Sus scrofa: one gene and its partners. The protein of the gene in region 3 purifies or fractionates together with the protein of the main gene of each other region. This does not show direct contact. Links are inferred from orthologs where the notes say so. Each region holds a gene or a part of one and is shown on either strand. Other genes may lie near its edges. The genes, in order: RACGAP1, SHCBP1, KIF23 and ARF6.

What was found.
Region 1: the proteins of KIF23 (region 3) and RACGAP1 purify together in Homo sapiens (co-immunoprecipitation; 10 studies listed by BioGRID and IntAct, counting the BioPlex papers as one, with this or other methods). This does not show direct contact. The link is inferred for Sus scrofa from reciprocal best matches to the Homo sapiens genes KIF23 and RACGAP1.
Region 2: the proteins of KIF23 (region 3) and SHCBP1 purify together in Homo sapiens (affinity purification with western blotting; 9 studies listed by BioGRID and IntAct, with this or other methods). This does not show direct contact. The link is inferred for Sus scrofa from reciprocal best matches to the Homo sapiens genes KIF23 and SHCBP1.
Region 4: the proteins of KIF23 (region 3) and ARF6 purify together in Homo sapiens (affinity purification with western blotting; 3 studies listed by BioGRID and IntAct, with this or other methods). This does not show direct contact. The link is inferred for Sus scrofa from reciprocal best matches to the Homo sapiens genes KIF23 and ARF6.

Annotation. Positions count from the first base shown.
Region 1 is NC_010447.5:15,915,985-15,923,268, forward strand, and holds part of RACGAP1 (rac GTPase-activating protein 1), read left to right. Parts: intron 1-5,434; coding exon 5,435-5,637; intron 5,638-7,215; coding exon 7,216-7,284.
Region 2 is NC_010448.4:38,026,822-38,034,536, forward strand, and holds the start of SHCBP1 (SHC SH2 domain-binding protein 1), read left to right. Parts: upstream 1-3,047; 5' UTR 3,048-3,095; coding exon 3,096-3,198; intron 3,199-6,175; coding exon 6,176-6,343; intron 6,344-6,510; coding exon 6,511-6,626; intron 6,627-7,715. UniProt on the Homo sapiens protein: May play a role in signaling pathways governing cellular proliferation, cell growth and differentiation. May be a component of a novel signaling pathway downstream of Shc. Acts as a positive regulator of FGF signaling in neural progenitor cells.
Region 3 is NC_010443.5:167,237,081-167,244,961, reverse strand, and holds the start of KIF23 (kinesin-like protein KIF23), read right to left. Parts: upstream 4,990-7,881; 5' UTR 4,788-4,989; coding exon 4,777-4,787; intron 2,504-4,776; coding exon 2,434-2,503; intron 1,037-2,433; coding exon 908-1,036; intron 1-907.
Region 4 is NC_010443.5:179,710,922-179,717,074, reverse strand, and holds ARF6 (ADP-ribosylation factor 6), read right to left. Parts: upstream 3,039-6,153; coding exon 2,511-3,038; downstream 1-2,510. UniProt on the Homo sapiens protein: GTP-binding protein involved in protein trafficking that regulates endocytic recycling and cytoskeleton remodeling. GTP-bound form plays an important role in the transport of multiple palmitoylated proteins form the Golgi to the plasma membrane.

The DNA of each region.
Region 1 (7,284 bases), on a different chromosome or scaffold from region 3:
TGGTTTTTTTGAATAAGAGATCTTAAAATTCTGGTTCCCTCAGCAAATAACAGCTTCTTGCACATGTTCAGGGAAAGGAATGACTAAATGGCTTCATGGAAAAAAAGTAGGGTTTGAGTTGAGCCTTAGAAAAGATTTAGAGTAGAATCCCAACAGACAGAGATGGAAGAGGGCATTCAGGGTCAGGGGAACAACCTGAGTGAAGGCAAGAGTGTGCAGGGTGTGAGGAGAAAAAGAATAAGGGGGAGTGACTTAATCAGAGCTGTGCTTTTGGAGGGTTACCCCGGCAGAGGTGGGGGCCGGGAGATGGATTAGGAAGGACATAGTTGCCATAGTTCAGGAAAGAGGCGATGAGATCCCTAACTGGAGTAGTGATTGTGAAGATGGAAATAAGGAGAAATGGGTAGCAGAGATTGTGCCTCTAGGAGGAGGCAGCTGATAGAATGTAGGGGCAGAGGGAGGAATCTGAGGTTTGGAGTTTCACTAACTAGTGCTGGCTTTTAACTGTTATTTCTGTGTCTTTTTCTCCATCTGTAAAAATAGGAGTTTTGCCATGAGAATTTGGTGATAAATGAGACACTAGTTGTGAAAATACCTTAGAAAGTAATTATAGCAAAAAAAGAGATACTTTTATAGGAACCTTTATTTTATTTTATTTTATTATTTTTATTTTTATTTTTTGTCTTTTTGCCTTTTCTAGGGCTGCTCCCACGGCATATGGAGGTTCCCAGGCTGGGGGTCTAATCGGAGCTACAGCCGCCGGCCTACGCCAGAGCCACAGCAACGCAGGATCTGAGCCACGTCTGTGACCTACACCACAGCTCATGGCAACACCGTATCCTTAACCCACTGAGTGAGGCCAGGGATTGAACCCGCAACCTCATGGTTCCCAGTCGGATTCGTTAACCGCTGAGCCACAACGGGAACTCCAGGAACCTTTATTTTATAAGCAAATTTCTATCCCCTCATTGATTTCTGTGATAAAATAGAGGTACATTTTGTTACCTCTCCAGATCCCTAATTTGGAACGTTGGCTTTTGAGGAACTAAAGTGTCTTAGTGTTTTCTAGACTGTAGAATCCCCTTTCTGTGACCACTCCAGTCTCTGTCCTCTTCTGAGATCCTAGGAATTCCTCCCATGCCTAGGGAATTCCCTGATTCCTTACTCTTACTTTTCCATCATCGTAACTTCATTCCCTTTTCTCCTTTCTGTATAGTTATAGTTGTTTTTTTTTTTTTAAGGCTAAGTCCAAAGTTAGTGAAAGAAAGATCAGAGTGAAGGTTTGTATTCAAATAAAATGACTTTAATAGCCTATATATTTTATCTTTGTTTTCCCCAGTCTACATGATTTTTATCTTCTATTATTATCATGAGCTTCCTGCCCTTTTTTTCTTTTTTTGGCTTTGTCCTCGGCATGTGGAAATTCCTGGGCTAGGGATCAAACCCACACCACAGCAGTACAACAGTGACCCAAGCTATTGCAGTGACAACACCAGATCTTTAACCCACTGCACCATGAGAGAACTCCTGCCTGAACTTTTTTGATGTTGGTGTATAAATTAGGAATAAATATTACTTAATATTTATCAGGTGCCTGTTATGTGCCAACACCATGTTATGTTGGTGCTATGCTATGTACAGTAGATGATAACTAAGTTGTATGTGGTGTGTCTTCAAGAAGATTGTGGTATTTAAGTTTCAGAGACAGGATTCTGTCCCGTGAAACAGAAGATAATACAAGTTTCGAAATATATGTTTTGGGAAAGTATAGAAAAATGTGGAGCAAACAGATAAGGAAAGGATTCATAGATCAAATGGGACTAGAAAAATGAGTACATAAAGAAGAGTAGGAGAGTTCCCCTTGTGGCTCAGTGGGTTAAGAGTCCAACTAGTATCCATGAGGATGTGGGTTCAATCTCTGGCCTTGCTTGCTGCGTTAAGGATCCTGAACTGGAGTTCCCGTCGTGGCGCAGTGGTTAACGAATCCGACTAGGAACCATGAGGTTGCGGGTTCGGTCCCTGCCCTTGCTCAGTGGGTTAAGGATCTGGCGTTGCCGTGAGCTGTGGTGTAGGTTGCAGACGCGGCTCGGATCCCGCGTTGCTGTGGCTCTGGCGTAGGCCGATGGCTACAGCTCCGATGAGACCCCTAGCCTGGGAACCTCCATATGCCGAGGGAGCGGCCCAAAGAAATAGCAAAAAGACCAAAAAAAAAAAAAAAAAAAAAAAGGATCCTGAACTGTGGTGTAGGTCACAGACGCAGCTTGGATCTGGCGCGGCTGTGGCTGTGGCATAGACCAGCAGCTGCAGCTCCCATTTGACCCCTAACCTGGAAACTTCCATATGCCGCAGGTATAGCTATTAAAAAAAAGAGTAGGTAGGGCATTCCATTTGAAGAGCATAGCCTGATCGTAAGTGACACAGGTCTGTCCTAGGGGCAAGGACAAACCAGTTTAGCTAGAAAGAGGGTATTAGGTAGTGATGAGAAGTTGATTAGGTAAGGTGGCCTGGATGCGTGGGGTTTAAATATGGACTGAACAGCCATTTTCATTCATTCATTCATTGAATATTTAAATGCCTACTGTGTGCTAGGTAAAGTGCAAGAACCTGGGGATAAAGTGAGAGAGACATAGGGTCCTTGCTCTTAAGCTTAGAGGGTGGTGAGAAAGACAAGGAAGAGCCTATGCAAAGGCCCTAGAAGGAGTGAGCTGAAAAAAACAAGATTCCTGGAGCTGCTTTAATCTCTTTGCTAAACTATGAACTAAATCCTGATTTTTTTTTTTTTTTTTTTTATGGATCAGAGGTTATTCTCAATTTGTTCTAAGGAAATTTCCCTTCTCCTTTTGATAGATGCATTTTGTAATTTAATATAACTGTTTAAGAGACAATTTTAATAAACCTTTTGAATGTATATTACATGACAGAGGCCAGTACCAAATTGAATTGTGATTCACACACTGACCAAAAATTGCCATTTGTGTTTATTGATCTCCAACATGAAAATTTCTCCTGGTCTGTGGTCTAAAGTGGGTTTTTGATCCATTCTAGCACAATTAGTTCATAACAGAATTGTACATAAAAGTAATATCTTCGTCATATATGCAGATGATCTAGTTTTGGTCTAACATAAACTAAATTAGTAATTTAATCATTTGTATTATTAAAACAGGAACTCCTTCCTTGAAATGAACTGATACTTTATTTGGTTTCAGTTCTGTCATCCAATTTAGTTATATCTGTAACATATGCTAATTAACAATGAATGGGAATCAAAACCCCAATATAATAAGACTTATCAAGAAGGAATATCCTAAAGATAAAACCAGCAAAATTAGATCAAATGGAAATCTTTTTATTCTCAAAGTTGTTTTTTAACTCTGTAAATATTTGCAAGTATAAGCAACACTATATTTAGAAACATTTAATTGACCACAGTGCGGAGCTAGAAAGTTTTTAGACTGTGTAGTTGAAAAGTTTGTTTCCTTTTATTTATCAATTTTTTTTAAGAAATATTACATACCTCAAAAAAGTTCACAAATAGGAGTTCCCGTCGTGGTTCTGTGGTTAACGAATCCGACTAGGAACTGTGAAGTTGTGGGTTCGATCCCTGCCCTTACTCAGTGGGTTAAGGATCCGGCGTTGCCATGAGCTGTGGTGTAGGTTGCAGACATGGCTTGGATCCCGGTTGCTGTGGCTCTGGCATAGGCCGGTGGCTACAGCTCCGACTTGACCCCTAGCCTGGGGACCTCCATGTGCCATATATGCGGCCCTAGAAAAGACAAAAAGACAAAAAAAAAAGTTCAAAAATAATAAGTGCACTGCTTGAGGAATTGTTTGAGTAAATATGACTAAGAATCAGCTCTTGTTTTTAATGTTTTTCTTTGTGAATCTATAGTTTTGAAATCGTTTAATTTGCAAAGGGATGTGTTTGTTTTCTTTTTGTTTAAATTAAGGGGGGGAAAAAAACCCTTAGTAATGTGTTCCAAACTGTTAACCAAACCAATATATCATTTAAAACTATTTGAGGAGTTCCTGCTATGGTGAAGCAGGTTACGGGGCCAGTGTTGTCTCTGCCTGCTGCAGTGAAGATTCAGTCCTCAGCCCTGCCAAGTGCAGTGAATTAAGGATCCAGTGTTGCCGCAGTAGCGTGGGTCACAGCTGTGGCTTGGATTTGATCTCTGGCCCAGAAACTTCCTTTGCCATGTGTGCAGCCAAAAAAAAAAAAAAAAAAAAAAGAAGACTTGAATTGTAATAGTATATTTTTTGAGATCCTTGATATTTGCATTGTCTAGGATAACTAGGTCATGATATCCTGTTTTGCTAAAAACCTATTGTTTAGTAAAATCCTTATGTGTAAGCCTTAGTTTACACATTGGAATTGTCCTAATTTGTAAGTTTGAAATTTAGTCAATCATTAAAATTACTTTAAAAAGGCACTATATTATCTCTATGCTTTCAGGTTAAATTCAAATAAAAAAAGTGCCCTTATTACCTAAGAATCTGCTGGCTTTGTGTGAATTTGACCTAGTTTCAGCCGTAAACTGGGTTAGCTTGACCAGCAGCAGATGTACACCTTGGAAACTTCCTCCATGATGCTGGTGGAGAATGATGCTTGGAGGTAGATTGAGGTTAACTAGAATAGTAAGGCACTGTAGAATAGTCTTTGCCAACAGCAAGTGCTAAGAACAGATGCCACCAGGGTTATCATGCTTTGAGGTGCTGCCTTGGAAGTGATGCTCTCTTTGCAGACTTTTGAAAAGAGTGCACATTCCGCTATCAGTGACTCACCCAAAGCTAATATGATCTTCTCTTCCTGTGTCTTTCCAACTGGAATGTTTACATGCCCTTCAGGGCTGTGTTAAACAGCAAAAGCAAATTGGCTCTTTACTTTCAAATCAATATTTGTATAATTATATAGCTGAATGCAATTGCAGGCCTAGACATCTATAATATTAATCTATATCTTCTGGAGCATATTACAGCAGTTACATTTGAATTTGCTCTTTAACGCCTCTCTGGCACAGCAATGCGTGACTCTAAAGGAGGCTGTTTTTTGTTTTATAGCTGTAACTGTCCTGGTGTGTGACAGCTGCCCCAAAGGTATCCCCCTTTGATTGCCTTCTGTTCAGGAGCTTTCACTGTTAGTGTTACATCTGGAGACAGGTGACTAATGAGTTACTTATTCCATAGCAGATGCCACTGGCTAAGCCAAAAGTTAGTGGCCTATTGAAATAGGAACTGCTCCCCACAAAGCTCTTATCCAGAGTGATGAACATATATCCAGGATCTGCTCCTGGTTATTTTCAGCTAGATTTGCCCATAGTTCAGCTGGTCCCTTAATTATGTATTTGGAATAAAACTAACCAGAGGACTCATTTATTAGAGCATTTATACTCAGTTTGGTGCTTGAATTATTAAAGTTTCCCCCTTTTCTTAGAATTTATCCAGTTGGCAAAGGACTTTGAAGATTTCCGTAAAAAGTGGCAGAGAACAGACCATGAGCTGGGCAAATACAAGGATCTTTTGATGAAAGCAGAGACCGAGCGCAGTGCTCTGGATGTTAAGCTGAAGCACGCGCGCAATCAGGTGGATGTAGAGATCAAACGGAGACAGCGAGCTGAGGCTGACTGCGAAAAGCTGGTGTGTATTGTTTTTTACATCAGACTGTGACAGTGGGGGGTGGGGGAAGCATTAGCCGTAAAGTTTCCACTTGCCTAGATATACCCAGTTTCTTCTACATTAAGGAACTAAAAACAGCCTGTCCATTGATAGGCTGTCCATGATTGGAGCTGAAATTATAGCCTAGGAATCCTATTCTTCATAGGTTGAAACTTAAATTTTTTTCCTTTAGATCTGAAACTTTTACTTAATAGACACATTTCAAACGAGAATTTGAGGAATCAAAATTATAGGGAAAACTAACACAAAGTTGTAAATCAACTCTACTTCAATTTAAAAAAAATTAGGGGGGGTAGTTCCCCGGCCTCGCTCAGTGGGTTAAGGATCCTGCGTAGCCTTGAGCTGTGGTGTAGGTCTCAGATGCAGTTTGGATCCCACGTTGCTGTGGCTGTGGTGTAGGCTGGAGGCTACAGCTCCGATTAGACCCCTAGCCTGGGAACCTCCATATGCCGTGGGTGTGGCCCTAAAAAGATAGAAAGACAAAAAAAAAATTATTTTTTTTTAAATTTAAAAATTAGGGGGAGGAGTTCCCGTCGTGGCACAGAGGTAATGAATTTGACTAGGAACTGTGACATTGCAGGTTCGATCCCTGGCCTCGATCAATGGGTTAAGGATCAGGCGTGGCTGTGAGCTGTGGTGTAGGTCAAAGACGCAGCTTGGATCCCGCGTTGCTGTGGCTCTGGCGTAGGCTGGCAGCTACAGCTCAAATTAGACCCCTAGCCTGGGAACCTCCATATGCTGCGGCTGTGGCCCTAAAAAAAAAAAAAAAAAATTAGGGGGAAAGGCAGGGAAATCTTAGCATTTTTGATCTGTCCCAAGCTGTTGGTTGTCTCTCGTTGATGATAAGCACTATCTAGAGCATTGTCAACCTTTTATCAGTAGCTAGTGCTTTATCATTGATACAGGCAGGACAACTCTTAAGTCTTTCCTTTGTCACTGCTCTTAATTTAGGGTGAAGGATATATTCAACCAGTGTGAACACTAGAACATACATTATCATTTTGATGTACCAGGGTGGGTCATGCTACACAGGGAAGCCTTTATGAGAAGGGACGAATTCATCTTGGTACATTGTTAGATGCCTCAGTCAGCTTGAATTGTCTGGTTCCAGGGTGGCACAACTTTGTATCCATTCTAATGCATTTTGCTCCATCATTTAGAAAAGTGGGTGGTAGCTTTGATCCGTAGAAGAAGCCAATAATTGTCCTGATAAAAATGACACTGAAGTGCTTTTGCTGTATGAAATCTATTTTGGGACTCTGATTTTGCAATACTCTCTTCTCTTGGATTAGCAGTTTGATCCAAAAGTCTTGTCGCAGAAACCCCACTATTCTAGATGGAGTTCATGTTACCAGTCAGAAATCAGAGACACAATCTGGGCTTGATGTGAATTAATATGCCATTGGTGTAGCAGTCTTCCTGAAGGCTCATTTGCATAATGCTGTATTTTAATGTCTTCTGGTCTGCCTGTCCCATAAATTTGAGGTGAAGCTTTCTCCCCTGGTTAGTTAGAATGTTTTACTCTGCTTTGATCTGTAGGAAAGACAGATTCAGCTGATTCGAGAGATGCTCATGTGTGACACATCTGGCAGCATCCAACTAAGCGAG
Region 2 (7,715 bases), on a different chromosome or scaffold from region 3:
CTTGAGTTCCTAGCCAGGGATCCATTCCCTGGAAGATATGAGGGGAGATTCCATGGCCTCTACAAAGGATCCTATTCTGCTCCAGTTATGGGGATGTAGTTTCCCCCTCCTTTTTTTTTAATGCTGTAGCCATAGCAACACCAGATCCAAGCTGTGTCTGAGATGCAACACCACAAATCAGGGCAATGGTGGATTCTGAACCCACTGAGTGGGGTCAGAGATTGAACCAGCATCCTCATGGATGCTAGGTGGGTTCGTTCCTGCTGAGCCACAATGGGAACTCCTTTTCCACCTTTTTTTTTTTACATGACCATTTTAAACAGTTCACTTGTCAACTACAGCTATATGTCCATCACCGTGATGAATACCATTATGACCACAAAATCAATAGAAGACACTCTCTAATGATGAGGAGCTTAATGTCTAGTTGGTAATTCCTATAGAAAGCAAACAAACAAGCAAAAAACCTAGAAACCAAAATAAGGGTGCATGATCATGTTATAGATTGTGTACAAATGTACCACATGGGACATTGAAGTATAAACAAAAGTTTCCCGAACCTTCGATTTCTCATATGTAGAAGGAAGAATTAATCCTCACTTCACAAGGCTGTTTGAAGATTAAAGGTTATAACTATTGTTATAGCGAAGAGCCAGGTACATTATATACTCTTAATAAATGTTAGTCAAAATATTAAAAAAAAAAAAGAGTGGAGATACAAAAAAGACTGGGAATAATGGATGCCACCCCACCTTAGGGCAGGTGGAAGGCTGTGATGGGCTGCAAGTGAAGGGATTGGAAAGGAAGAATTAAAAAGCCCTTTCCAGAGTTTCCTTGTGGCTCAGTGGGTTAAGGATCCAGCCCGGATTGCTGCTGTGGCACAGGTTGGATCCCTGGCCCAGGGAACTTCCACATGCTGTGGGTGTGGCCAAAACCAACCAACCAACCAACCAAAATCTTCTCCTTAGGATTAGGGGGAGGGCGCAGGGAAAGCAAACTCCCAAGATGTGTGCTCCTAAAAGGTCTCCACTTAGGGGAAAACTCTAAAACTTTCAATATAATCCATGCAAATATAAGTTTGGAAATGTAGCCCGTGTAATAAATGATTTGTCTTTAATAGAATTTGCAGCAGCACAGGTGTTTTTTTCTCTGACCCTGTGGCTGCATGTTCTTTTCCAAGACTTTTCCAGAAGCATTAGTTTGGGAATTCTCTTGATGACTGAGGAAATATTCTATAATTGAACTACTGAAGAGCTATGCTGTCTTCAAGGCCAGGGAAGAGGGCTGAGGAGAAATCCTGCCCCTTGTGGGGTTTGCGGGTGGAAGGGTTAAATGGAGAATTATAAGAAAGTCCCAATGCTAGTCTTGATTTTATTGTTGCGTGTGTTTTCACCTCCTGGTGCTCAACAAATATTTGTTCAGTGAACCAATAGCCATAAGGTCGACATTGTACTTGAGAGACAAAGAAATCTTGTTTCCTGGAGAAGCCAGCTGAATTAACTGCAGGTTGCTACAATCACCTCTCCTGGCTCCATTTTGTTTCAGCTGTGGGGGCATGAGAGACGCTAGTCCAAAGTTTTCCTTCAAGGCAGCAAGTGGAAATGTCTTCCCCGTGATAAATCTGTTATGACCAGGCTCTCGGCTTTTGGTGGGACTCAAACCACCATGTTCTGGTAGCCTCCGCTGTCCCTGGCCACCTCAGCTCCCACTACTCATGGCCTGGCAGAGGCATTAAAGGGTAGATGCAAGAATTTGACTGGTTTCTAATACAAGTTGTGCTGGGTTAAATTGGGCATTGCTTAATTGATTGGCGATTCCATTTGTTCATCTGTAGACTGGTAATAATTATATTTCCTGTCTCATCGGATGGCTTTTGAAGGTTGATTAAGATAATGCAGATACAATATGCAGGAAAGTATCTTGAACATAGTACTCAATAAATGTTAGCCATTATTACTGGAATTATAGTTATCTTTGATTAATAAGCATGGATAAAACATGCTTTTTATTTATTTTGCTTTTTAGGACTGTACCCGAGGCATACGAGAGCTGCAGCTGGTGGCCTATGCCACAGCCACAGCCACAGCCACAGCCACAGCAACTTGGGCTCCCCGCCAAGTCTTTGACCTACATCACAGCTCATGGCAACGCCAGATCCTTAATCCACGTAGTGAGGCCAGGGATTAAACCTTCATCCTCATGGATCTTAGTCAGGTTCATTACCACTGAGCCATGGCAGGAACTCCAAAACATACCTTTACATACTAGATATAACTTGACATTCTTTAAAAATATCTTTTATGTATAGGCAGTGAATGAAAGAGGGGAAGAGAGAAAAAATGAGAGAGAGATTGGTTTTTTTTTTTTGTTTTTTGTTTTTTGTCTTTTTAGGGCTGCACCCACGACATATGGAGGTTCCCAGGCTAGGTTAATCGGAGCTGTTGCTGCTGGCCTACGGCAGAGCCATGGCAATGCCAGATCCAAGCCGCATCTGCAACCTACACCACAGTTCACAGCAACGCCAGATCCTTAACCCACTGAGCGAGGCCAGGGATTGAACCTGCAACCTCATGGTTCCTAGTCGGATTCGTTTCTGCTGCGTCACGACGGGAACTCCCCAGAGATTGATTTTTGATGGTGAAAAGTTTGGAGCTGTCTAGGCCAATATACTGTTAGAACTGCAGATGATCTGTGAGGTGAAGTGACTTGCTCAAGTTAACACCAGTAATAATGGCAGAAACAAGTCTAAACAGTGTTTTTTGACTCTCAAGCCAGTGCCTTTTCCGCTCTACTCCATTTCCAGGTATGACTTGTCAGGTTTTCGCAAAACATCCCTAATTATGTCCTAATTCAACTTTGTTCAAGTGCCTTCTGCTCATCAAGAGCTTGGACCAGAATAGCAGTCCGCCCGGCCAGTAGATGGCGCCAAGGCACTGTCACTGGGGTGGGGGGAGGCTGAAGGGGGCGGGGCTCGTATGGAAAGAGGACCAGGCAAACTTTCTTTTAATTGGTCCAAGCGCCTAGGCCCATTGTCCAATCGGAAGCGCCTGCGTCATCACCTTACCCGGCTGGGCGGCCGCCCGCGGAAATTTGAAATGGGTGACGGGTTGCTGGCCGGTGGCGGCCTGGGGTCGGAGGCGATGGCGCCCGAGCGCACCCGCTGGTCAGCGGAGGAGCATCCGGCGCCTCTCGAGAAAGGTGAGTACCCGCCGAGTCAGGCCGGAGGAGCCGCTGCCTTCAGCGGACCGTGTCAGCGGCGGCCGGGGGTGGTGTCCAGACCCTCCGAGGGCGCTTGGGGCGTAGGCCTTCCGGACCCGGCTGGATTGGGTGGCGGCGGTGGCTGGGCGAGGCCCTGACTCACTCTCTGGACGTCGAAGTCGGACAGTACCCTTGGGCAGCTCCTGTCCTCCCTGCCCAATCTGGCCTCAGCTTCCTGGGGACCGGAGGGGGTTGGGTGGGGTTGCGAATTCCTACCCTGGCTGCCTGGGTGGGCCTCCTCGGGGCGTTTGTCTGTGCAGAATGGGCGCGTCTTTTTTATTTGCATCCTAAAGGAGATTATGAACTACACTCCCCTTTGGCGAAAGAGGAGAAATTTGTACGCTTGGCCTAGACAGCTGCACTCTACTTTAAAGGCAGATGACAGGCCCAGGGAGGGGAGCCAATTGGGGACAGTGTCTAAAGATAGAACCCAGGTCTGATTCTCACCTCTTACCTCTTCACGGAGATTCCACCCCACCCTCCACCCCCGATATTTTAAGCTGGTTCAGGTTTTGCTTCAGTATTTTCAGTTGTGTTGGTAGTGGAAGGAGTCCTGGAGAAAGAAGATATAAATGACTTGGAAAATTCCTCTACTAATCCCTCTTGTGGACTGTCAAAAGTCACTTGGCTTCAGTTTTCCCATCTGGAAAACAGGCAATGGTGCTATGGAGTGGTAAAGATGAAGTGAGATAATGTGTGAAAAGTGATACTTTCAAATTGGCTCTAAAGGATTGTGCTGTAGTAAGATATTTTTGTTGTTGTTAAGATACACATAACATAAAATTTACCATTTTAACTGTTTTTTAAGTGTACAGTTCATTGGTATTAAATACATCCAGATTGTTATGCAGCCATCACCACCATCCAGTCCCATAACTCTTTTCATCTTGTAAACTGAAACTATTCCTATTGAAAAATAACGCTCCAATCTCCCCTCCTCCCAGTCCCTGGCAACCACTTTATACTTTGTTTTTATGATTTTGGCTATTCTAAGTACCTCAATCAGTGGAATTACAGAATATTTTTCTTTCGGTGTCTGGATTATTTCCCCCAGCACAATGTTCATGCATATTCTAGCACTTGTCATAACTTCCTTTTTTTAAGGCTAAATTATTTTTCATCATATGTATATACCACATTTTACTTACCCATTCATCCATCAGTTACTTCTATGTGTTAGCTATTGTGGATAATGCTGCTGTGAACATGGATGTACAAATATCTCTTGGAGACTCTGTTTACAATCCTTTGGGTATATACCCAGAGGAGAATTGTTGGGTCATATGGTAATTGTATTTTTAAATTGCTAAGGAACCACCATACCAGTTTCCACAGAGGTAATACCATTTTACCTGCATACCAACAATGCATAAGGGTTTCTATTTCTCTACATCCTAGCCAACACTTGTTTTCCTGGTAGTTTTTCTTGGTTTTTTTTTTGGGGGGGGGATAATAACCACCTAATGGGTGTGAAGTGAAAGTATTATTTCTTTAACAAACATATCTGTATGTTATGTGAGGGGTATTGTTGTGGTTAACAACTAATTTGTTTAATTCACTTGATTGAAGTAGACATACGATTCTCACCTTCCCTTTTTAAAGGAGGTAACTGAGGCACAGAGATTGTCACACAGTAAGTAAGTAAGGTACTGATATCCTCGGAGGCTCAGGTGCATTGGTGTCTGTGAGCAGGAGACCCTTGTACACTTTGGTCATCTGTGGGGTCACATGATTCTGGTGGCCTGAACTGGGGCAAAGAATTGGAAGGAGGGAGGAAAGGAAAGAGAAATTAAAGGGGTGAGGGAAGAGAAAGACTGCTGCTAATAACAGCCTCAGACACCCTTCCTGGAACCGCTGGAAAGGACTTTGCCAGTCTAAATGCCACCCTCAGCATTGTTTATTTAATGGTCGTTTTGTCTATTAAAAACATCTTATTCCACAGAATTAGATATACCACTGGCCAAATAATGCCTTGTGAAACATAATTACATATAGCCCAGACCTAACACGATTAGCATTTTCTAATCCCTCCTTTAGCCACAGGCTTTGAAATTAGTGAGGAGGAACCTAGTAACTTTGGTGAAGTAAGCCTTATGCATTATTAAGACTCATGCATGTTTATTCAGGGGCAGTGACACGCTGATCTTATAGAAAATAAAGGGGGGGGTTCAATTTGAAAGGGAGTGTAGGAAATCACCTCCTTATTTTAATGCAGATTTGTGAAATTGTTTGGGGAGAGAAAATGACTGAAAGATATTTGACCATTGTAAGTTCTAGTAAGAATCATGGCTGAGTGATTTTCACTGAATTGAAAAACAACCCTCTTTCTTTGCCTCCCTGAGAAACCACATAGAACGGCAACAAAAACCTAACCCATGAAGGATTTTAAGTTCATATTGTTTTGAAGTAGAAGTTGGATTTGAGACATTTTCAAATTTGGAAAACTGTTCTTTCTTTCCTGACAATGTGAAAAAAAAAAAAAAAAGGGAAGTAAAGCATCATGCCCAAATATTAGTTTATATTTTGTTTGGGATCTCTTTTTTAAAATTTTTATTTTAAATTTTAATTTTTATTGTCTTTTTAGGACCGCACCTGCAGCATATGGAAGTTCCCAGGCTAGGGGTCAGATCAGAGCTGCAGCTGCCGGCCTACACCACAGCCACTGCAATGCTGGATCCAAGCTGCATCTGCAACCTACAACGCAGCTTTCAGCAATGCTGGATCCTCATCCCACTGAGCAAGACCAGGGATCAAACCCTCATTCTCAGGGATACTCCTCAGGTTCTTAACCTGCTGAGCCACAAATGGGAACTCCCTTGTTTGGGATTTCTATGCAAGGATGTAAAAATAAAAGTAGTTGATAAGCATTGGAAGTGTCTGGGATAGTCGAGCCTGCCTGTTTTGTTATTTTTCTTAGGTTTGTTACAAGATGACGATTCATGCAGTGATTGCAGCAGTCACGATAAACCAGGTAGTAGTTTACAAAGTTTCGTGCCAGAAGGAAAAATTCATTTCCCAGAAATGTTCCAGACAAGTCACCTTTTGTTCTATGAGCGATTCAGAGCTTATCAAGATTATATTTTAGGTGAGTAGGCCCTCTTTTTTGCTGCTTCTGTCTTTTACCAGTAGATTGTTTCAGTTCTTCAGACTGCCATTTGTTGGTTCTGAGAAAGTAGATTTAGGTGAATTTATTAACTTCATGCTGTCTGCTTTATGCAGTCCCAATTCTTACTGTGTTTAATTTGTTTATAGCTGACTGCAAGGCCTCTGAGGTAAGAGAATTCACAGCTGAGTTCTTAGAGAAGGTCCTTGAACCATCTGGATGGCGGGCAGTCTGGCACACTAATGTGTTCGAGGTGCTGGTTGAGGTAAATTTAATTCTGTTACTAAGACATTTGTCTCTGGCTAGAAACACTTTCCTTCGGACTATGATAGCCAAAGTGCTTATTTTTAATTAAGGTTTATGAGCTGATTGAAAAGAGCATGTTTTTCACATCTAATTGCCATGGTGTATGAAGAAGTATTCCCCACAAATTTTAAAGGCAGCTAAGGGGCTGCCAGGGAATTGAGGTGGTTTGTTTCCTTGTCCATTTTCAAGGGGAAATGGATTATAAACCTGTGACATGGGGGAGGTATTTGAGACCATTTAAAAAACAAAGAGGCTTAATTATAAAGTAGGTAAGGTTTGAATTAATTTTTTGCCTTCTTAGTTGTAGCTCATTAAAGTAGCTCAAACCAAACAGGCATTTAAAAACTAGCCTATTTTTTGCCCAACATGTTTGTAGGTATGTGGTACCTCTTAATAGTGTGTCCCATAGCAGAAAGTAAATGCAATCTTATTCTTCAACAGACTGGGCCTTTTACATTAAATTTGCACTCTAATTACAGCTGTGAATTTTTCTCAGTGTTTGTTAATTGGACCACAAAACCCCCTGTTAAACTAAAATGTAAACCAGAGAGTATGAATACAAGTTGCGGCTGTAGCTCCTTTAGGAAATGACATCACATCCTGCAGTGATTATGTACAAGGGCATGGTTTGCAAGCAGCCATGGATTTAAAATTTCGGGGTTGTGCTAGTATCTTTGGTTGCACTTCAGGCCTATTATTTTGGTTATGACAGTACCTGCCACTCCCCCACCTCAATTCTCTAAAAGCCATCAAAGTCATTGTTTTAAAAGAGAAGTGTGCCATTCCTCTGCTTAAAACCTCTAAAGCATCGCATTTACCAAAGACCTGGTGTTGGCTTGATGGCTTCTCATAGCACTAGTCACCCGTGAAAGCTGAGCTCCTTCCCAACAGTCCTGGTCTCCTTGCTCCTCCTCTTACCTTACCTCTTGCAGCCCCCACCCCATTTCCTTCCTTTGGCAAGAAACACTGCCTCTCTGTGCCTCCAACGTCCAGGCTTGTCTCTGCCTCAGTTCTTTTCCATCTTTCCTGCTCTTCAGATGGCTGCTTC
Region 3 (7,881 bases):
TTTCAGAATTATTACCATATAATCAACATTTAAAGCCAGAGAAAAGTATAGATAGGGAAGAGATCCCTGGGTATAGCCCAACCTGGTATTTAAAGGTTGGGAAATGAGGCAGAGCCCACAGAGGGTAGCCAACGAAAGACAACTCGGGACAGCTGGTGGGAAGACAGTAGCATTGCTGCTGAGAAATAGATCATAATGAGGACAAAGAGGTATCTTATCACATTTAGTGGCAGAGAGGCCACTGGTGGGCTTCTGACTAGTAATCTCCCTGGAATAGTGTACACAAAAGAGTGAAAGCAGCTTGAAAGAGATGACAACCTGAATTAATCCTTTCCCAGAGTCCCTTTCTTGAAGCACACCTGTCTTCCATGTCCTATCTATGAGGGTTATTTAGCATCTGTAAAGTAAATTGTAAACTCCATAAAGGCAAGGACTCTGTCTTTATTCATTTTTAGAAGTCTCCTTCTACCCTCCAGCTTAAACACTTTGTAAGAAGTGGATACAAGTATCCCGTGCCTATCCTATTAAATGTTATTTCAATCCCCACACATGAAACTATATATATACTTATATATGTAACAGCCTAGCACAATCAGATATCATTCCATATTAAGCCGTCATGAACAAAAATAAGAAAAAAAAAAAAAGCTGTTATGAACATAAATGCTCCAAAAAGGAATATTAGCATAAGAAATTATCCTCTAAAAGGAATCTTCTAACTCCCGTATACCAAAGGTGTGTCCATACAACCTAGACATTAAAAACACTTCAAATATAATGGTTAGAGTGAAGTAAATAAATCTTCCAAAAAAGTGGAAACACAGGAATTTTGTTCAATTAAAAAAATCGAAAAACCACTCAGGAAAGAAGTTATTAATTAAAAACAGTTGGTTCCAACAGCAATTACCTCCTTATAGTCTCCATTTCGGTTGAGTCTATAACCTTCAGGAGTATGAAGCTGAACTGTTGTATTATTGATCACTTCTATGCAACACTCTTGATCAAGAAGGCTCAGTGGGCGTACCCTACAGTATACCTGAAAATACAAGAAGATGCTTAAAAATCAAAGGTTGACTTTTTACCTGAATTTTCATTTATTCATTCAACAAACATTTGGTGTCTAAATGCAAGAGATCTATATAAACTTGAAGCTATGAAAGCCAAAACTTTCTACCCCACTACCTGCTGCCCAATTTGCTGATTGTCAAATGTAAAAAGATATATTAGATATGAGAGAATTTTAAATGCACATAAAATTAAAACTCTCTAGAAATCCACATATCACACAATGAGAATTATTTGAAAAGCTGTTAGGATTATATGGAATTGGATGTCAATTAAAACTTGGAAGCTGAGTACTTAATATACTAAATAAGTAAATGCAAGATCTGAAATGTGGTCTTCTTAATCAGCTGTATGTGCAAAGAATCTGGTTCCCTCAACTCAGACGAAGAGACACACTCCAGTGCCAGTGAAGGGAAAGCCCAGAGCAGGGAGTTCCCATTTTGCCTCAGCAGGTTACAAACCCAACTAGTATCCATGAGGATGTGAGTTCGATCTCTGGCTTCATTCAGTGGGTTAAGGATCTGGTGTTGCTGTGAGCTGTACTGTGGGTCACAGACACAGCTCAGATGCTGTGTTGCTGTGGCTGTGACATAGGCTGGCAGCTACAGCTCTAAGTCGACGCTTAGCCTGGGAACTTCCATATGCCATAGGTGTGGCCCTAAAAAGCAAAACAAAGCAAAACAAAAACAGCCCAGAGCAAACCAATCTTCCCTCATTTGCCATTTACTTTTTTTTTTTTTTTTTTTTCCAGTTTCGCCCTCAGCATGCAGAAGTTCCCCAGGCCAGGGGTTGAACCTGCGCCACGGCAGTAACAACGCCGGATCCTTAACCACTAGGCCACCAAGGAACTCCTGCCATTTGCTTTTAAAAGCAAGTTCCCAAGACTGAAACTTGTGAAGTACATGCAAATGAGCAGTCATGAGATGAATTAAATTGTTCTACATTGGAGTCTTTATGAAACTTGGTCCCCCAAAGCATGGAGTTTGGGGCTTTCCGCATGAAGAATACCCTAAGTTACTATACAACTATCCTAAAGATAGGAGAGGATGTTTGTGCAAGCAGAAAGCTTTCCCCCATCCCAAAGAATATAAAGAACTCTCCAAGATACTCCATTTTTCATTATATAACTTTTCAAATTATAATTAATTATAGGAAGTATGCAATCAACAACCAAAGACTTCATTTTACTGGACTAATGAATCCTACATAGAAATAAAATCTCAAAGCTGGAACAACCCTTAAGCAATTAAATACAGACCTTTTAGCCAAATGTTCTTTGACTCCACTTCCGCACCTCTGTCCCTACACACACACATTCACACACAAAAGACATGAATTCACACACACAAATTCACAGGGAAACCTTACCCCCACTGGGTCTTTAAGAGTTGTTTGGGCTCCCTTTTTCACTGGTGGTTTCCTGGGTGTCTTAGTCCTCCTGGTCATAAATACAAAAACATTTCAGCTCAACACTAACATACAAAAAACCTCACCTATAATTAATAGAGACAACCTACCTAGGGTTTATTCTTTACCAGTTCCAAAACACTATACCCCAAGTAACATGAACAGGAATAAATTGCATTAGTAGAAGAGTATTTTGGCATGTATAATCCAAAAGTAAATAAAATTTGGCTTAAGGAGTTCCCAGTGTGCTCAGTGGTTATAAACCCGACTAGTATCCGTCCATGAGGACTTGGGTTTGATCCCTGGCCTAGCTCAGTGGGCTAAGGAGCCAGCGTTGCATCAAGCTGCAGTATAGGTCCCAGATGCAGCTTGGATCCCATGTTGCTGTGGCTGTGGTGTAGGCTGGCAGCTGCAGCCCTGATTCAACCCCTAGCCTGGGAACTTCCATATGCCCCACCTGCAGCTTCCCCCCCCGCCCGCCCCCGCAAAAAAAAAATTGGCTTAGGAGAAAGTTTTGGTACTAAATATACTTGCTCTTTGTTGAAAAAAGAGACAAGAGGCCCCAAATGGAATCACTTATGCTAAGCCCTGTGTCACCAAACTGAGACTTAATACCTAACTTATAGTCTCAACCTCTCCCAGGAGCAGACTCTTAAACTAGCCAACCTGGAATTACCTGGTCAGCACTAGTGAGGTGATCTGCCTGACAGACCACTGCCACCCACTAAAGGATGCTAACCTTGCCACGATCTACACATTGCTAGTAATTCTCCTGTCCTGCCCCTGTCTGCCTATAAGTCTTCCATTTTGTAAAGTTCTTCAGCACTCCTTTCTATCTGCTAGACTGGATGCTGCCCAATTCATTAACTGTTAAATGAACCCAATAAGATCTTTAAAATGTACTCTGTTGAATTGTTTTTTAACATCTATTTATAGTTCTATTTGTAAAATAGCTTGCTTATTTTCTTAAGCAACAATTTTACAGACACTACAAATTTGAAAAATCTATGGATAATTGACCACACTTATGTCCAAGGGCATAAATATACAGATGCATAAGCCCATATGCTGTGGGCTTCAGTGCCAACAGCCCATTGCCAAGGCAGACTGAAAAGTGATCAACTTCAATAAAATATAAAAATGCAGATGGAGAAAATCCATTTTTTCATCAAGATTTATGTCTTTACTTTCAAGGAATAAGAAATTATTGAATTCTCAGAACTATCATCCTTTGTCCCCAAAATGTGGTCCCCAAACTGCAATTTCTTGCTCTTTTTAAGTAGGGATGGTAGAAAAAATAATGATTTACTTTATCACTTCTCTACATGCCACTCCCCCTTTTCCCCATTTATCTATAGACTAAACATTTAACGCTAACATTAAATGAAGTTATTGGCTCGGACTACAGACTATTAAAATACTTTCTCAACACTTCCCCAGGTGAAACAAGCAAATTCGTGTTTTAAGTCCAAGATATTATGGTAGATTTATTTAACCTCCGTATTTTTCTTCCCAAAGATAAAGATTTTGACTTTAGCCTCTTAAGAAAACAAGTTGCCTTTTGCAAACGACTAGCTACATGATGACGACAAATATAAAGTCAGCCCTCTTCTTTGCACAAGTATTTCGATACCCAATAGCAGTCAAGGAATGAGTGTGCCCTGGGAACATCACTCCACTCGGTGAGGAATGTGGGCGTGTGCATTTATGCCCGAGGACCGGGTTGTGTGAGACCAAAGAATAGAGAAAAGTAACCGAACGACAACCGGGAGTGGTCTCGGCCCCCTAGGCTAAGAAAAGCCCGCAATGCACACCGATGCCAAGACTCTCCAGGGGCTGAGACCACTTACCCAACCAACCCCAGGATACAACACTTGGCCCCACACCCAAGTCGACCTCCGACCCGCACTAACTCGGCAAAATGCAACCCGGGGCCGCGGACGACCAGGGAGGGAAAGGGGAACTTCAGAAAAGGTTGGAGCCGCTGGTCCGGAGCCAGGTGGAGGGCGACCCGGCTAACTGGAACCGGAGTCGCAGTCCAAACCTCCCTCACCCCTAACTAGGGGCCGACATTTCTTGGTCGAAGTGAAGCCGGGGCGGGGAGCCGGGGCGGCCGACTCCGGGCGGCTGGGAGCTGGGATGGTCCAAGCGGACGGGTCTCGACGCCCAGGTCCCCCCCTCCCCCAGGAGGTCCTGGTGGGGGTTCCCTCCCACTCTGGGGGCCACACTCCGGGAGGCTCCGGGCTCAGGGCCGAAGGCGCGGCCCGGGGCGGCTCAGCCCCAGCTCCGCGGCCCGGTACTCACGCTGGCTTCATGGCAGCAGGCTCGACGCTGCCCGGATGCGAGCACGGAACGCCGGGCTCGGTCGGGCGGGCTGGCGAGGACGGCGGACCGTAGAGACCGGCCTCGGGAACACAGACTCTGCCTTTCAGGCGCGGCGCTCCGTAAAGCCGGGAGACGCCGCTGCCGGCGCAGGTGAGCTCGCGCCCGGCGCATTTCAAACCACCCAATCAGCGCCCGCCCGCGGGGAAGGGGCGGGGCTTATGAGGAACCTCCTCCTTTGCGGGAAATGGCGCTCGTCTCCCAGGCGACCGACGCCGGAAATAGCGTCGGCTGTGTGAGTGATGAGAGCGGGATGGGGAAGCGGGTCTCAGACATTAGGAAGTACAACAGCTTCCATGGTCCTATGAGAACACTGAGAGTTTCCTTTCCCACAGCACGAGAAGTCCGATAGAAGGGCAAGTCCAGGGTTAATTCAGTGGTCAACAGTGTCGTTCCGCCCAGGAGTGTCCTTTACTTGGGCTGTGCCCTGCACAGAGTCTCAGACTCTCTCTTCGGAGTCCAGATCATGGTATCCCCTTGGCTTCCTATTTCTCTCTTCTTCACTTTTCCTGGGATCTCCCTCTCTGGTTCCTCCACCTCTTTCCTGTATATCAAAGTCTTAACAATGATTGATACTGGGCATACCGAGATAAATAAAATTTTGATCCTTGTCCTTGAGGAGCAACGTCCAGAACCACTCTTTTCTAAGATGAACTGATTTTATTTCACTTTGACTATCAGTATGAATCTATGTACGTGCTCTTATGGAACTGTGGTCCCATCTCCTCAGCTTTCTACAGGACCAGACGATTAAGGATTGACATATCTCCAGCCCATACTGTTCCACATAAAGATGGTTCCAGTGTTTGCTACTATAGACATAGTTATAGAGAATAAACTTGAAAATCTATTATTTACACAGAATTGCTGCGTCAGAGAGTACACAGCTGCAGCTCCAATTCAACCTCTAGCCTGGGAAAATGAGGCCAAAAAAAAAAGATAAAAGACGTTTAATCGTATATTTTTCCTAATGCTTTTATTGCTTTGTTTTTTATGTTTAAGTCTTTGAACCATTAGAACTTTATTTGTCGTCAAATAAGAGGTTGGGATCTGTATTACTTAGGAATTGGGCTGGGCTGCTACCTTACCTTTTTGGCCACACCCATGGCATATGGATGTTCCTGAACCAGAGATGGAATGTGAGTCACAGCTTCGATCTACACCACAGCTGTGGCAATGCCAGTTCCTTAACCCACTGCACCACACACGGAACTCCCGCTTACCACTTAATTACTAGGCAGCCTGGCTTTAGTCTCAGTCTTTCCACTTGAACTCTTCTCAGCAAGATCATTGATGCTAAAACAATTTGGCTCTTCCCCACACTTATCTTTCTTGACCTCTTAACACCCTAAAAAATATTTCCCATTCCTTTGTTTTCCTCCTAGATTTCTAGCCCCTCTTTTTCAGCCTCATTTGTGAGTTCTCTTTTGTCCCTTAAATATTGTGGTTTAGGGTTTTGACCTGGTGGTCACTAGCTGCGCTCTCTCCCCAGGCACGCCCATAGCTTCACGTACTATTCATGTTTGCTTTTCTGGGCTCCAGTTGCATATGTCCAACAGCCTACTGAATTCTACACCTGGATGCCCAACAAGTACCTCACACATGACACATCCTAATCTCTTCCCTGAACTTGTTCTCCCTCAGTGGATGGCATTATCGTCTATGCACCCACCCAAGCCCAAGTGCAAAGTACCATCTTTGACTTTTGCCTCTTCTTCTGTTCCAACATTCAATCATCAAATCTTGACAGTTCTACCAACTAAATAGCCTTCAAACCTCTCCTCTTCATCCCCTTGGCCACTACCATCTCTTGTCTGGATGGCAGCAACTGTAACCTAACAGGCCTCCCCGCTGCCATCTTCCAATCCTGGTTCCTTTTTGCAGCCAGCTCACCACTAAATCATAGATCTGATCATCTCCCTACATGTAATACTAAAGTAATTCCCATTGCTGGAGGCCCTCTACAGGCCCAGAGGCTCTTCCTCTCCAAGCTCATCGCGTATCATTTCCCACTGCATTCCTCCAGCCAGGAGGACCTTCAGTGCCCTGAACACACTGGGCTCAGACACCATGGCCCTCTGCTGTCAAGCTCTCCTCCCTCCCTTCTGACAATGCCTCCTTACCTCAGATCCCAGCAGATCTTCTGCCAATGATCCTGCTCGGGGTGTTGGACCCCTGCTCTCCATCTACTGTCCCCTCCCCTCCCTCAGTCATTGCGCCTGTTGATTTGTTCAGAGCTCGCATTGCCATCTGCAATCGCTGTTTAGTAGTCTCCTCTACCAGCTTATCCCCACATCATCACTAGATGGCGCTGTTGTAGCCCCCGTGCCGGCAATGAAGGTGCTCCATACGTGTCTGAACCCATGCCTTCTTCACAGAACACCCCGATCCAGGACCCAGCTACAGTGCACCAACCCTAGCTTTTCTTTAGATAAGTTTCCTCTTCCCTTCTCACTTATGTCCTTATTAAAGCTGACTTAATTTTTTAATGTCAATTCATTATATCATTTCTCTGTTCAAAAATGGTCAAGCACTCTCCATCGCTAGCTGGTAAAAGACTTGCATTTTTCCCCTGGAATTAGAGATCCAGACCAAGGTGAAGGTAGGAGAGGGGTAGAGAATAGAAGGGAGGCTTTTTTAAAAGATCAGGTTTATTGAAGTATAATTTACAAACATTAGAATTCACCCTTTTTATTTGTACCATCTATGTATTTGACAGACACACACACCATCCTATATAGCCACTGGCATGGTCAAATGTGTAATATTCCCATCACATCAAAAATTGCCTTGTGCTGCTCCTTCTCAGTCAATTGCCTTTCCCTACCACCAGTCCTTGGCAATCACTTTTCTGATTTCCTTCGAGTTCTGTCTTTTCTTTCTTTCTCTCTCTCTCTCTCTCTCTCTCTCTTTCTTTGCTTTTTAGGGCCGCACCTGGAGCATATGGAAGTTCTCAGGCTAGGGGGTCGAGCTGCTGCATGTGCAACCTACACCACAGCTCTCACGGCAATACCAGATCCTCAACCT
Region 4 (6,153 bases), about 12 Mb from region 3:
TTTCTTAAATTCTTAAGATTATAACTTTTTCTGCAGGCTATAATTACCTGCTCCATGATCACCAATGGTTATGGTTCAATTTATCAATTATCAACCTTTTATATCCTTAAAGAAAATATAAGTGAAAATTACAGTTTCTTACCCAAATGTTTAGGGTTTTCCAAATTTCAAATATTTGCTCCCCCCTCCCCCAACCTTCAGTTAGACATTTCAAATAAACTAAAAATAACATCTCACCTGCTACATTCCATAGCAATCACTTGATGTATAAAATTTTAACTATGCCCCCAGTTTTTTTTAAGACACAAAAAAATGGCTGCCTACCAATTTGTCTGTCACAAGTTAGAATACTACATTTAAGAATTACATGAGGGTTTCAAGTTTCCTCCAGTTTAGGCATTAATACCTTTGTGCTTGTCTTGTTTCAGGATGTTACTATAACATTGATATTTGTATAATCCATGTTTATGTACCTTAATAAGTAATCATTTAAAACACTAAATTTATGATGAAACTGGGAATTTTAAAAGCAGCTAAAATGTTTAGATATATCAGCTTCATTTCTAGAGATGCTTCTACTAAAGTGAAACTGAACTTTATACTTTAGTTGCATTTTGAATTCAAAAATCCCTCTGCACCATCAGGAGCCTACAACATAGCACCTTTTCTCCTCTACTTTAAGTAAAATGTTTGTCAAAAGTTTGAAGTTACTTTTTTATAGCCTTATGTTGCTCAAACATCTTTGGTAAAAGCTCCGTTATACAATATGGCCAAAACATGAAGGACCAATACTGTCCAATCATATACCATGACATCCCGCTCAATTTTAGTTTTCAGATACCCTCATAAACAAAACCCACTCGGCCTTTTCCTGTATGCTGCCATTGCAGTCTACATTTGTGAAATACCCTAATTCCTTGAGGATCTCTAAAATTAATCCTTAAGGCTATATAAGAACCAGATGCTGTTACACACAATTCTGTATCAAGCATTAACATTTGGTTCAAAGTATTACCATAGTGGTCTCAATAATCTTGTTACTGGTCCTAACCAGCTAAGCAAGTCATCTTGTTAAGATCTGGATATCACCAGTGAGCACACTGCTTACCCTTGAATAAGTTTACATTCATTGTCATCTGTAGGTTCTTTCTCTACATCCTACTTCCCCTTTGTCATTCTTCAAGTCTACACATCATTCATTCATCTCACATTTCCTTCCTTAAAGGAGATGGTGTATCATTGAACCAACAGGATATCTGACTATTTGCATGAGTTAATCCTACAATCAAAAAGAATACCTTTCTTATAAAACATCTTTTCCAGTGTTCTAATTAATGGAGATAAGAATCACTCGTCTATTAAAAAAAGATATCTTCAGCTTATTCAGTTGCTGTAATGTGGAAACAGGAATGTTTTTCTTTCCAACTAGGTAAAAGGTGCATATAACTTGAATTGTTAAATGCTTTATTAATGAACAAAGTAAACATTCTGGTAATTTTAATATGATTGGTCTTAGACATTTGAAACATAGTAAAAGATATATTCCAGTTTTGCCCAAAAGTCACTTAAAATATCTACAAATATTTCTTTTGTATATGGCATACAACATTATTGCTCCATTTTCTGGAAGAGTCTGTTTTTAAAGTTAAAAAAGAGGGAAAACACAGCAAAGTTGCTAACTTTGCAGTGAAAAAAAAAATCTGTGTCCTTGACTGGTTACATTTTCATATTTTTATGCACTGTAAGTTAGCTCTGTAAAGGGGAACTTGAGTTTTATCCTTACTCATGCATGATGTATGTTTCAGAACTTAAAAGCTGACATTTCAAAGAACTTACATTACCTGTTTTAACATACTGATGTGCAACTGGAACATATTACAATGATATTACTCATTATTTGCCCCTGTGGGCTAAGTTTACTATACTGGTCTTAGATATAAAAGGTCACATTTGAATTTACTAAGTTGGAATTCATAAGGGAGGGGGAAAAGGCCTTAAATATAAAAGACAAACGGCAGTTTGATTAAGCAATAATTTTCAGTTTACTAGATGAAACAGACTTGCAACATAGTCTGCATGAATGCAAAATAAGCCATCTACAGCAAGTGATAAGGAAACTGGGCAAAAAGGAAAAAAGCATACATTGGAAAAGAAGATTCTCTCGAAATAAAAAAATCAAACCATTATTATAAAGGAATTTATCAAGAACTGCTGTATTTCCCCCATCCCATTTGCTGGAAGTCAACGAGAGTATCTAAGTACTTTGTGTTCGTGTCAAAAGTCAGCTCAGAGCATCCTAACGCAAAGCCAAAAAAAAAAAAAGAAAGAAAGAAAAAGAAAAGAAACAAAAAAGAAACCCCCTAACCCCCTCCCCCAAACCGTAGAACTGTAACTCCAAAGTTCAAATTCAAAAGAAGAGAAAGTGGCAATTCAAAGAGGTGATGGTGGCGATAATCCTATGAATGGGTTTTTGATTTCTCTCCTTCTGGGGGATGGGTGGAGAATGCTCATTAGGATTTGTAGTTAGAGGTTAACCATGTGAGCCCCTCATAGAGTCCGTCCCCCGAGGTGGCACAGGAGGGCTGCACATACCAGTTCCTGTCCCGAATCCGGGTCAGGCCCAGTTTCTCCTGGATCTCGTGGGGTTTCATGGCATCAGGCAGGTCCTGCTTGTTGGCGAAGATGAGGATTATGGCGTCCCTCATCTCCCGGTCATTGATAATGCGGTGTAGCTCCTGGCGGGCCTCGTCTATGCGGTCGCGGTCGGCGCAGTCCACTACGAAGATCAGACCCTGGGTCCCGGTGTAGTAATGCCGCCAGAGCGGCCGGATCTTGTCCTGGCCGCCCACATCCCATACGTTGAACTTGACGTTTTTGTAAGTCACCGTCTCCACGTTGAAACCCACGGTGGGGATGGTGGTCACCGACTGGCCCAGCTTCAACTTGTACAGGATGGTTGTCTTGCCGGCCGCGTCCAGGCCCAACATGAGGATTCGCATTTCCTTGTTCCCGAAGATCTTAGATAGCACCTTCCCCATCGCTTCGGAGGAACCGGGGCCGGGGGCATTCAGGTGTCCCGGGTCCCCTCCAACAACGCCGCCGCCGCCGCGAAACCGAAACGGAGCTTCCCAGTCGCGAGGGGGCCCGTGCGGCCTGCGTGGGAGTTGCCTCCTCAGGGCAGAGGCCCGGGCCCGTAGCTCACTCGGGCATCACCGACCACACAACTTGATTCCTCCCGTCGCCGCGGCCTGAGTCTGCGTTGGGAGAGCCGCCGCCCTGCTGAGGCGCGGCCCGGCCCGGAACTGCCCTTCCCCCCGCAGGCGCCGTACAAGCGCCGCCGCCGGCTCCTGCTCGGCCGCCTTCACCTCACTCCGCCGCGGGAGACTGCGGCCCTTCGGCCCGGCCTCCGGTCCGCGGAGCACCGCGCTCACCACTGACCCAGGCCACACGAGAGCAGAGCGGCTCCGGCGCCCCGTCGGGTCATTGATCCTCGCGGGAACTCGGTGCGCTGCCTGCAGAAACACAGAGAGGAAAAAGGGAGTTACTGCGGGAGCCCCAGAAGAGAGCGGAGGCCGAAGGAGCCCGCCTTTCCAGCTCAGCCCAGGAGGTTACCTCCAGCCGCCGCCCAGAGCGCGGGCTCCCTCCGGCCTCCACCGCCTCCTCCCAGTTCTACCGCCGCCGCCGCCGGAAAAGGCGCCGAGGAAACCGCCTCACTTCCCCTCCCGACGACGCAGGCGCAGCAGAGGCCGACCGTTCGGGACAAGAGCGACCTCTGTAAGGAGAGCGGCCTGCGCGCCAAGCGTCAGGGGCGCCACGCGCGGAGGGGCGGGGCTACGGCGGCTCGGAGGCTCCCAGGTGGGGCCAGCCCTGCTCCCGCGCAGCCCGGGCTCTGACCCGCGCCCACCTGTAGCTATTCTAGCGTCTTCTCCCCTCTCTGCTTTTCTCTTCCGCGCGCTCTCCTCCTCCGCCCCCATTGGAACCTGAGAAGCAGATCCACTGGGTGGGGCCCGTTGGCCGCCCGCTCTCCAGATGAAAGCCTCCCCCTGCTTTGCTTCCAGGCCTCTTCTCCGTCCTCGGCGCCTGCCAGATGCTCTGCGAGTTCTCTCTTGCCCACCCCAGGCTTCGTGTGCCCTCCATCTCCCTGTGAATCCCTATCTGCTGTTTTAAACCTTTCACCCAACTCCCTTTGGCTTTCTTTTTCCTTCGTTTTGTGCATTTCCTGAGAGACACGTGGGAGGCCAGTGGTTCCCGTGGGATTTGCCGTTCAGTGCGGCGCGTTTACTGGGTTTGGGTTTCCTCTAAAGCCCGTCTTTTGAGTGTTTGAGCCGTCAGGAGCAATCCACGTTTCTTAAAAATTACAGTATTTTCAAGACTTCCCATGCTTTTCCTTTTTAAATATCTTTTACTGTGATTAGTAGTAGTTTCTCATTCTTAATTTTCAGCAGCCTCGTCTATATAATCTTAGCGTTGGATTTAGAATAGGAAAAACTACTTCTGACGCCTGGATTCGGACATTTGACCTTATCGAGTTGATCTCATGCGTAAACTGAGTGTAATTCTGACCCCACTGTCTAGAAGCCCACTTGAGGGCTTTTATTATTATACGTATAATGTTTGTAGAAAGGGAACCCTCTTTGTATCAAATGATTAGTGATAAAGTTCAAATATGAAGAAAGCTTGAAATAAACCAAAAGGAGGAAAAACAGGAAAATAGCGTGTTTGTTTTTTTTTTTTAAAGAATATGATGTGATAGCATAAAGTAACATACTTTTTGTTTCACAGTTTAAAAAAAATTTGATAATGGTAGATTGGTTAAGTGATAACCTTTAAGCTTCAGCCTGAAGTAAATTTACTGAAGTTACTAATATTTTGGCAATGATTTAATTTACTTTCTTCCTTAATATGTACTGTCTTAAAACAAAGGATGTGCAGTCAGAAGACTGGGGTTTCAAATGTCACCCTCCATTTTATAGCTGTGAATCCTTTTCTCTCAGCCTTTGCAAACTTCATTTTCTTTACCTGTTGAACCAAATGAAGAATGATACCATGAATGAAAATAGTCATTATTTATTGATTGTTATAAACACTGTACTAAATACTTCAAATATTTTAATATGCATTGCAACCATGTGAGTTAGCTTTGAGGTTCATTAATTAGTATTAATTAGGAGGAAACCGAGAGTTAGAGATGTTGAGTAATTTTTCAGAGGTCACAAAGCTGATATGGTGAATTTATTCATTCTCTCTTAACCCCAAAATTAGGCTTTTTCACCCCCTGTAAGTACTTCAGGAAATCTGATTACAGTATAGTTGACCCTTGAATAACACAGGTTTGAACTGCACAGATCCACTGTACTTGTCTTTTTTTAGATAAATATGTACTCTTGTCACTACACAATCTGGGTTGGTTGAATCCACGGATGCAGGACCTGGGATGTGAGGGCCATCTAAGAAGTTATCCTCAGAATTTAGACTGTGTTGGGGTCAGCCCTACTACCCTACCTTACCCCCATCCCCAGCCCTGTACCACTATTCAAGGGTCAGCTGTATTTCTTAAAATGCTTTATAACTATAAAGAAAGTGTCATAGTAATTACTACTACATTTGAGGAAGGAATTTTTTATATGTGGTAGTGAGTACTATATTTTGCCTCATTCCAACATAATAGTTTTCTCAGAGCAGATACCAATTTTTCCATCCAGATGGAAGATTGAGCTGCTGGGCTTAGATTTATTTTTCAGTGTACTGTGTGATATTATTAAAAATAGAAGCAACTTGGAGTTCCTGCTGTGGCACAACAGGATTAGCAGCATTTGGGAACACTGGGTCACAGGTCCAATCCAGGTTCAAACCCCAGCCAGCACAGTGGTTAAGGATCCTGCATTGCCACAGTTGTGGCATAGGTCGCAATTGCAGCTCAGTACTGATCCCTGGTCCGGGAACTCCATATGCCCAAGGTGTGGCCAAAAAAGATAGAAGCAGCTTGAAGCACTAGCATCTACCTGGCACTGGCACTGTGCTAGGCCTAAAAAAGTTTATTTTTGAAAGCCAATTTCCATTTATCTTCTACCAGAATAAATGGAGGCAGAGAGTTTGCCTTGTCAACCTGATATCCTTAGTGATGGAGTGTAGGGTATCAGGAGTTCAGTCATT